Caenorhabditis elegans: one gene and its partner. The protein of the gene in region 2 interacts with the protein of the main gene of each other region in a pairwise test. Each region holds a gene or a part of one and is shown on either strand. Other genes may lie near its edges.

The links.
Region 1: the proteins of dyci-1 (region 2) and valv-1 interact in a two-hybrid assay, tested with the Caenorhabditis elegans proteins (one large-scale study listed by BioGRID).

The regions. Positions count from the first base shown.
Region 1 is NC_003282.8:7,443,931-7,447,249, forward strand, and holds valv-1 (Cysteine-rich protein 1), read right to left. Parts: upstream 1,407-3,319; 5' UTR 1,378-1,406; coding exon 1,338-1,377; intron 1,287-1,337; coding exon 1,186-1,286; intron 946-1,185; coding exon 832-945; 3' UTR 709-831; downstream 1-708. Other genes in the region: unc-82 (Protein kinase domain-containing protein), read left to right, coding at 208-278, 327-430; B0496.1 (BTB domain-containing protein), read left to right, coding at 2,460-2,921, 2,967-3,111, 3,158-3,309.
Region 2 is NC_003282.8:6,779,201-6,786,263, forward strand, and holds dyci-1 (WD_REPEATS_REGION domain-containing protein), read right to left. Parts: upstream 5,141-7,063; 5' UTR 5,140-5,140; coding exon 4,969-5,139; intron 4,601-4,968; coding exon 4,406-4,600; intron 4,310-4,405; coding exon 4,183-4,309; intron 4,110-4,182; coding exon 3,913-4,109; intron 3,805-3,912; coding exon 3,583-3,804; intron 3,530-3,582; coding exon 3,314-3,529; intron 2,710-3,313; coding exon 2,533-2,709; intron 2,479-2,532; coding exon 2,343-2,478; intron 2,112-2,342; coding exon 1,888-2,111; intron 1,609-1,887; coding exon 1,500-1,608; intron 1,413-1,499; coding exon 1,310-1,412; intron 1,260-1,309; coding exon 1,205-1,259; 3' UTR 645-1,204; downstream 1-644. Other genes in the region: anat-1 (N-acetyltransferase domain-containing protein), read left to right, coding at 157-270.

The DNA of each region.
Region 1 (3,319 bases), 660 kb from region 2:
ACTTCTGTCGAAGAATAGAAGAAACTGTGCCCAAGTCAAGTTTCTAAGCTATCGAACTGCACTAACACTTTTCCTAAAAATATTTTCAAAAGCTCCAAACCGCCCAATTGGAGGGGGGTGCTATAGAAGTTGGACGCACTGTACTACTTCATTAAACTGTGATCAAAAGTTACCTTAACAATCTACTTATGATTCCATTAATTTCAGAAACTACACATCTTCAAATCCGGTTTCCACAACTCGCGAGCCATATGTTGCCCAATATAGAAAATATCCAGGTGCTTTATTTCACAGAAACCCTATTATTTTAATTGATAGATTTTCAGGTTCAACCTCACGTGATACGTCCAGCGCTCTCAATCGTTACTCATACACTCCTGGTCTAACAGATCAACGCCGTCATTGGTATGATGATCCAAATATTTATTAACTTTTTTTTCAGTTTTGCCATCTTTCTTTTCCTTCTCTTTTTGTAAACTTTAAAAATAATTTGAAAACTCTTTTTTTTGTAACTTAAAAATTCTTGCTCACCACTTTCTACAGTTCATTTTTTTGTAAATATCGTATGGAGAAACTATCGGGTGTCCGATATTATTCTTTTTTTATTAAAAATGTCATCTTCTCTCTCACCCAAAAACCTAGTCAACAATGACTCTTTACATGTCGTCTTCATTCATTCTTTCATCATTGTTTCAAAATTTTGATTTTGCAGTAAAAATATTTTATTTTGAAAAGTTTGCTAGGCCAGATAATTGACATTATGAAGTCGTAGTAGGCGATGAATGTGAGCTTGAAGCATCTTTGGAAAACAGGCAAACGAAATTATGAATTTTAATTTCCAGTAGTTCCTTGAAGGAAAGTGTGTGATTCAGTTCCTCCGTGACCGTATCCTTTTGGTCCGAAAAGAGCGCCATAACAACGATTGCAATAAGGTTTACCCTCGTGCTGAAAATTATTTAATTTTTTAGAAACTTTTTTTTGAAGTTGATTGAAAACTGAAAATTGAAAGTCGGCAAGTACTTTTTCAAAACCCACAACTCAATAGTACAGCAAAAATTTTAAAAATCTAATTCAACTCTTTTTTTTTTGTTTATCAAAATAGATTGAATTGAAAAAAACGATAAAGAACTTTGGGTAGTACTCCTACCATAACCAAAAACTATAAGTTAACTTTTAAAAACATACCTCTGAATGACTTCCAGCACTTAATGTTTTCCCGCATGCTTTATTTGCACATTTCAAGCATGGTCTGTGCCAATCTTTTCCTAGAGAGGAAACTCGTTCAGCTGAAACAATTAAACAGTTATCATGACATATAACTTGAAAAAACAACTTACCGAAGTATACAGGTTTTTGGCAATTTGGACAGTTTGGCATGATTATTACGATGGTTTTGCAGAGGAACTAAAATAAAATCAAATTCGAAGAAAGTACCGAAGAAATGTCAATAGATAGAAGTATTTATATGATGGTTAAGACATGCACGCCTATCACTTATCACTGAACTTTTTTCGGAAATTTTGAATGAAACAGCTGAGTGGGAGGAGGAGAGAAAAGAAATGAGTCACAGAAACAAAACGAGCTAAACTTAGAGTTAGAGGTAAAGTGAGATAAAAAGAGAGAGAATAATGGAAACATTTTAATCTGAAAATTTATTTGCGGAACTTTGATTAACTCCTTTTGCGGACAGAATCGACTACACGAAAGTCGAGACTTCGAAAGTTAATAGTGGACAGGAACAGAGAAAAGTTGGAAAAAAGAACGAAACCAAATGGTTTATTTGTTTATTTTGTGGGTGTCTTAAGGAATAGACAGAAACGACGGTTCTCACAAAAAATATGTTGAAATGAGTCATGAAATGAATCAAAAAACACAAGACAATATACCGGAGACCGGTACGAATGAGGAAGAAAACAAATGCAAATGAGATGAATAGATTCGAAAATGAAAGTGGACAGAGGAGACCTTCTTAACCCAAATTTGAACGATTTTTCATTCTCTCACTTCAGCCCTTTTTATTTTAAAAAATTCTGTCAATCAAAGAAATTGACCTCATTCAAAATGGAAGTCGGGGCTTTAGGTCTTTGAGATTTGTATCAATTGTCTTTTTGATTGAATTTCCGATGGAAATTTGAAAAGCAGGCGGAAATTTGGAAATTAATAGAAAGGGAAACAAATGGAATGTTGATGGATTGCGGAGAAAGTGTGTTGAAAGAATTCGAAGATTTTTGAAAATTTGAACTGTAATTTTGTGAAAGAACGTGAACTGGAAAAAAAGTGAAATTCATATGAAATACGTGGAAGAAAAATTTAAATCGTGGTTTTAAGAAATTCACTCTAACAAAATGTATTTCACAATATTTCTGGCAACAAACAAAGTGATTTGGATCAAAAGTATCACATGTAAATTCAACTTTTAAAGGGTTATAGTTTTCCCTGGAAATTTTTCAGAAATCAAAATGAACGATATTACGATGAAAATTCCGACAGCGAGCAAGCTTTTGAAACTTCCAGAAGACTCAAAAGTCGGGGAAGAAGTTGAAATTCCCATTTGTAACATTCTTGGACTCCACTTGACTGGATTCTGGACGGTTCTGAACACAGCTAACGGAAAATTTGAAATAAGATGTGAGAAGGAAAGTCTGTTTCGTTGGAAATTCTTGGCTCAGATGGACCTTCAGTTTACTGGGGAAGGGAAGGTTATCAACATCAAAAACGAAATTGAGTTCTCTCCAAATGTTAATACGATCATGATTAAATCTATTGATCGAAGATACAATCAGGTGAAACTGAAAATTACTCGAAAGTCATCTTTTGGAATTGCAATCGAAGATTTCATTGATTTTGAAAAGAAGAGCAAGTGGTTGGATGTCCTGATTCGATCTGAAGATGGAAAGAAAATGATATATGCCAATTCTGGAGTAAGTTAAATTGAGTTGTGTTTCAGTTACATAAGTTACTTTTAGATACTTGCTTTGAATTCCCCGATTCTTAAGCAAAAACTGGAAAACAACAAGTTAGCTGAAATTATAATGCCATTTGAATCCTTTGTTTCAATGAAAAAACTAATGAACTTTCTTCATCCTCCTTTCAAAATGGAACGGGAAAATGGTAAGTTTACAATTAACCACAAAACTACAATCATTTGAATTTTCAGTTGAACAAGTTCTGGATCTAGCCTCAAAATGGGAAATGAAGTCGGTTATCACAAAGTATGAGCAATTTCTCATCAAAACACGTTGTCACTGCCAACGATCTTCAATTCAAGATGTCAAATTGGCGGAAAAGTTCAAGATGGCATCCCTTCTTGTAAGTTCTA
Region 2 (7,063 bases):
ATTTACGGTTTTGCCCACAAATACCTGACGAGACCCATTATTCGGAGGCGAAGCGTTTTCAGTTGGCTATGGAGCGCGTTTCGATTTATAAGTGGGCATTTTTCTGCCTCCTTATAATAAATCATATAGTTTTCACATTATTATTATATTTTTCAGTTCGCTGCTGTTCGTTACGATGCTTTCAAAGGAGAACATCTTCGTCCACCAATCGTGATGCGTCCACCAGAAACATTCCATAGTGTATATGCGATGCTCTCGAAGTTTAATTGAGTTGCGGCTCCAACCTATGATCTATGAGTATCACAACGAATCCGTCGCCTTCAAGCTTCTCTCTTAATCAATTTTCTATCGAAATCTGGCACTGTTTTTTTTTGAATATACGCTGAATGTTTTCTTCTCTCCTTCTCTCCCAATCAAAATCCCACTGCATTTGCATTCTTTTGTCAATCAAAACAAAAAACAATCGATTCTTCTTTCTGCGATCATTTTCAATTAAAAACTATTCCCTCGTTGTCCCAATTTCACATTATTATATATTTTGTATGATTACCGCGAAACACTTTTGAGAAATGAATATTCAAAACTGTATTGAGCTCTCACTACTGCTTTTTGATGGAAACAAAATTACAAAAAAAAGGTGATTTTTTCATAAAACTGTTCATTCGCATTGATCGCTATCATCGAAACTTGATAAGAAAAGAAGAAATCAAATAAACCATTTTTAGAGAACAATTGGGAGCTGTGGTGGGGGACTGTATGAAGCATTTAAAAAGAAACAATTGATAAATATCAATTAATAAATTAGAGCAAAAAAGTCGAATCAGTGTGATCGGGGAGAGAAAAAGCTCAGGAAAATAACGGGAATAACTGAAAACGACGTGGAAGAAGAGCTGTCAGGAAAAAAAGTTTTTCAGAGAAAATGAAAAACGAGAAAAAATTGAGTAAATAGCAGATAATCACAAAAAAATTTAGCGGGGATATTTATAAGCAACAAATAATTAAATGAACCGAGAAGAAAGAGGAGCAACGTTTTTAGAGCACACAATTACACACACAAGAAGAGTTGGCACCAGTTGCCACGTTTCAATAAGAAAGCGTGGGAAAATATGCTTTGTAAGGGATTTAAAAAACAAGTACCTATGATTTAAATATGATAAATAGAAAATCTGATTAAAGTTAAGATTGGAAAGAACCGCGCATTCGTCTACATGTTATAATTCTCCGCTTCCTCATTCGATTGCTTCATATCAGATAAAACTCTGAAAATTGCACATTTTTCATGTAGAAAGAGGAACGGGTAGCTGCTTACCTAGCAAATCGATTCCATTCTTCGCTCTTCAACACGTACAAACTTTCCCGAACATCATACATATGTACTCGACCCTCATCATCACCAACGAACACGTGTTTTCCTGAAAAATACGGATTTTAAAATTTTTAGTCCAATACATTCAGTTTCATTGTAGGATTTTGCATTATTAAAAAAAATTGCTTCTTACCATCAGGTGACCAAATCAGTCGATTCATATAAACAGATTCTCCTTCGGCTCCGGCGCGAAGTCTTGCAACTGGTCCTTCAACATCCTCATTCAAATTCCACACGAAAATCTGAAAACGTTAAAATATAATATTGTTGAAATTAAACGATCGATCAAATGAATTTTGCAAAAAGAACAGAGGCGGAGCGTATTTTCGCAATCCTGCGGCACAGTTTTTTTCCTTTTTTTCGTCCGTATTCCACTGCTTTTTTGTTGATTTTTTCAATAAAGTCTCGATTTTACTCGTTTTCAGAATGTAAAGGTTATCCAATTCTGCTCGGCGCTGTTTTTTGCAAAATTTACTGATCGATTTCTATAAATTCAGTCAAAATAAAAATAAATCTCTCACATTTCCATCAGCATCAATAGATGCAAACACAGCTGGATGAACTGGTGACCATGCAACATCCAAAACGAGATCAGGATGTGATTCAAATGAGAATTTTAAATTTGCATCTTTTGTGCTCCATAGCTTCACTGTCCAATCGTGAGATGAAGAAATAAAAAGATGTGAGAAGTCGACAACACCAGAAGCTCTATGAAATTCAATTCCCGTCAGAGTACCACTGTGACCTGAAATTATTTATTTAAAATTTTTATCAAGATAAAATTCACATTTTTGACTGCTCAAAATTTTTTCGATTTTTGGAAAAAAAATACAGTACGCCCTTGTTGCTAACTCCTAGTTTTGGTGGAATTTTTTTTCTTCATTTTTTTTCCTCTTTTCTTGAAAATTTGATGTACTTTTAAATTTTTTGAAAATAATTCAAGAAAAATCGGTCGCTTCGAGACCTAAATCCCAACCTTTGTAACAAACGTCAGTTTTAATGACAGCTGGATCAGCTCCATTCCTTGATGCAGCAAGAATCTCTCCAGTATCTGTTCCAACGACAAATGTTTGCATTTCACCGATTGGGAATGACATTCTGGTGGCGGAAGCCTGGAAATTCGAATTTTTTGTTTCAAAATTATTTAATATCGATAAAAACCATACAGCTTTTCCTTCCTTTGTCATCAGTTCTTTTCCATCCACAGGTTGTGTCAAATTATCGACATTCCAACTGCAAATTCGTCCGTCTCGACTTAATGAAACAAAGTTATGAGCATTTTTGGTACCAACGACAGCAAGACATGATACAGTATACGTGTGAGCTTGAGTTGTTAGAGGACTCTGGAAAAATGAGTTAACATCGGATAGAAATTAAAATAATTTAATCAATTTTCGTAGAACTTTTTTGAAAAAAAAAACTTCAAAATTTTCAAGATACGTAACAGTAACATTACTGTTGTAATTGAAGGATTGATGTGCAAATTTTGAAAAAAAAACAGCGTCGCACAGAAATAGAGGCGGGGCGTAATTTCGCAACAATGCGGCACGGTTTTTCTCCTTATTCTTCGCTCGTTTTCTACTGCCTTTTTTATTTTTCAATTAAGTTTCGATTTTACTTGTTTTTTTGGCATGAAAATGTTGTCCAATTTAATTCTCATACGATTTTGACGATATTTCATGCTAAATAGGTTTTAAAACATGAAATATTTTTATAACTTACGAGAATTTATGTATATGATAATATTTTCATTTAAAAATTAAACTAAAAAGTAAAATCGAGACTTTATTGAAAAGAGCAGTTGAAACGGGGGAAAAAAGAGAAAAAATCGTGCAGCAGGTTTGCGAAATTACGCGCCGCCTCATTTTCTGTGCAACGCTTTTTTGCAACAGGAAACTTTGATTTTTTCTCAGGTTTTTTAAAGTTTAAAATACAAAAAAAACTCACTCTATTTATTGGCAACTTTCGACTTGTCAATCGATTATCCCATACACAAATCTGTCCAGATTCACATCCAGCGAGAAGCAAATGAGCATGGAAACGAGCAAAAGCGACGGATTGAATTTCAGATTGACAATAGACAATGAATTCAGCAGTCATTCGCTTCGACTTTGTATTCCAAACGACAATAACACCGGGTGGCTCATTTGGAATGTCACATGGCTGAAAAAGAAAGGAAATTAATAATCATGTATATAGTTTTAAATGTTAATTACCCCATAAGAAACAGCTAACAAATCAGGATAATGCTCAGAAAATGCCATTCCTGTAACTAATCGTTTAGCAGTCCATGTCTCATCTTGATATACTTGTGCCAAATGAAGTAGATCATCAGATGCAATAGCTTTCTCATATGGATCTTTAGTGTAGTTAATACAAATGTCAATTTCCTCGTTGAGAGCACGACTGATTACTTTGCAAGAGCGATTGAAAGAGTCCTGGAAACAAAACCATAAGCTTCAGTCATGAATTAAAAATTGAATTAACTTTTGGGCAGTTAAACATATTTTTTCACAAAAATGCCAACCTCATATTTTTTAACTCACCAAAAACTCAGGATCAAGAGTCAAACGATATTTCTCTTCATCACTAAGTGGTGGAACAATCTGAACAGTTTGTGTCTTTTTCTCTTCAGTCTCCTGTCGTGTCAGTCCCTTGTCTCCCTGCTTTGTCTGTCCCAGAAGTTTTGCAATTTCTTCGTTGTAAGGAAGTGGGGAATCTTGATCGTGTGAGTGAGCACGACCTGAAACCATGAATTTTAAAATTATGGTGTTCGAGTAAAACTGAAATTCAGGAAAAAAAAACCATGCACAAACCTCTGAACTGACCGTGATCCATTGGCATAATCATATCATCATCATAATCGAATTCTTGGCTTCCTAACGAAAATTCGCCGACTGAAATTCGCTCATCGTCAGTCTGGGTTCCTTTCGAGTAAATTGCCTGGAAAATTTTAATACTAAAATCATTAAAAAAAGCAGGAATTCGAGTTTTTAAAATTAATTCTCGATATTTTCCCTCGAAAAAAATAAAGCTTACCGAATCTTTGTTATCCGTGCACGCTGTCTGTACACTGGAAAATTCCAAGTCGACTGAAAGGAGATTTGAAATGCGTGGATGGCTGGCTGATGGATCCACATGATTATCAGAATGAGAACCAGGAGGTGGTGCCGGAGATTCTTCCCGAACTGTTGGCTCAGTTGAAATACCTACTTGACGGAGAATATCCTCGACCTAAAAAATAATTTAGTTAAAAAGTAGAAATATGATTGTGAAACTTGTAACAGTTTAATTTTCAATTTCTTGACGCGAAATTCTGAAATGTTTGAAAAAATACAGTGTCAGGCCTCTACACGACAAAATTTTGTTAATTTCAAAAAGGTATGCGCCTTTAAAAATTACTGTAGTTTAAAACTCTCTTTGCTGCCGATTTTCAGAAATTTTCATTGGTTTTCTCGCAATTTTTTAAATGGAAAACTTAATTATTTTAAACGAAAAACTATGAAAAATAATAAAAAATTGTCGTGTCGAGACCGGGTACAGTATTTCTAGGCAAAAACTCTAAAAATTTCGAGTCGGGATAATAGAACATAATAATATACCTCATTCGATGAAAGAGTCTGTCGAGACGTTCCATTCTGTGTTGTTCCATTTTCATTTGTGGAACGGAGCAGATTTTGAACTCGAGCATCTTCTTCACGTTTCCGCTGAGATTTCAGCTCTGCCAATTTCTGCTTTTTACGTTCAAGTTCGAGTTTCCTCAGTTCTGACATTCTGAAATAAAATTGTTTTTTCTAAACCTAAAAAATGTAGTTTTGAAAAAAAGGCAATTCAGAGAAGGAAATGTTGTTTCGAAATTCAAAAGCAGATGGTAGAATTAGAGATAGAGAGAAGTTCGAGATATCTACGAAGGACATCATCATCTGTTTTTTTTTGTTTTTTTTTAATGTTAGCGATGAATAATGGAGTGTGACTTCAATTAATTAAAGGCGTTGTATCGTATTTGGAGGATTTTCTTTGCTTAAAAGACCTCAATATACCAAAAAACTGGAAAAATTATAGAATTTTTCTAAATTTTTCAAGATTTTTTATTTAATTTTGCAACAAAAAAGTGGATTTATTTTTGAGTTCCCGAGCAAATGAATCAGCTAGTTTCGACATTTTTTCATTTTAGTTTTTCCTAGGAGGAAATTTCCTTCATGTTTGATATAAAACATCGTTTGCCAAGAAAGCCAAAATAATATAAACAGCCGGAAAACGAAAAAAAAAACAAAATGACCATTTGTGCGAGAATTCAAAAATAATTAAGCCATTATTATTTTTTTATTTCTGCAAACCTGAAAAAATCATTAAAAATTTAGAACAATTCTATAAACTTTTTTAGATTTATAATAGGTGTATTGAGACTGTTTTCTGTCATTTTGGGAAAAAAACCAAAGAAGCTACTCCAGTTTCAAGGGAATTCAGGGATTTAGGCGAAACTGGAACTCTGATAACAAAGAATTTGAAAGAAACAAATGTTGAAATTGTTTTTCCTTCCTTCCTGTTATGTGTGTATGTACTTACTGTTTTCTCTACTATTCTATTCCCTCCACTCATACACATACCTGAAGATATCAGAGACACAAAAAGATAGGAAATATGATAGATTGAATGAAACTTAGGAACACCTAGAGTAGTTAGAGAGAGCTGTAAAAAGAGTATTTACAATAATTTGAGGGATCAACTAGAGAGAGAGAGAGAGCACACTAGAGTGGAGAAGCGCAGATAATGAAACGACAGGGGACAAACTGTGCCGACACCACACAAGCCGATCCGTCGCAAAGGTCGCTAACATTAGAGAGTTAGAGAGGAAAAGAGAAAAGGAGCTGTCGATCTTTGCTGGTAGGACGGACAGCGGCGGGAAACTACGAGAACAGAGGGAGCGGTAGGGCGCAGATTTGATGGAAATTTCAAATTAAAAAAATTGTTATCGTCGAATTAGAATTTCCTCTTGAGTAATTGTATTGATCCTACGTTGCATTTTAGATTCAAACTGAGAATTAGGAATCGTAACCAGTTTTATTTTTTGAATGAGAATATTATTCAATTTTATTCTCGTGAAATTGTGAGAATATTTCATGCTAAATTGTTTGCAAAAACATGAAATATTGAAAAACGAAAAAACATTGAAAAACGCTTGAAAATAGCAATTACACCCGTCTGTCTTCCTGTGCAACCAAGATTTTTTTGAAAAATTTACGGATCGCTCGAATAAAAAATTTTATAATGTCAGATTACGTTTTAGATCCAAAAAAAATTAGGCTGAATCCGTTTTTGATTCTCTAGAATTTTGTTTAGCCAAAAAACATCGCATTGTTCTCTCTGTCGTTATTAAAGTGCGCAATTAACAAATATTCAAAAATTCTTATTTAAAAAACCATAGGGGGTTCCCTAACTATTGCGAAATTCTCTTTCTCTCTCGGACATTACTATGAGAGATTGAACCAATTGAAGAGACGCAGTGCTAGGAAGGGAATGCGCCCTGGCGCCACATATGGTCTAAGTCTCTCTGAATCGTGTGCTCTCTACATTGGGTCGACTCTGCGAGTGCTTTTGAGCGGCGCCGAGACCGAAATAAGAGAGAAAACAGAGGGAAAAAAGATAGGGAACATTAATTGATGAAAAAAGAAACAGATGACGTGGCAATTCTTCTTT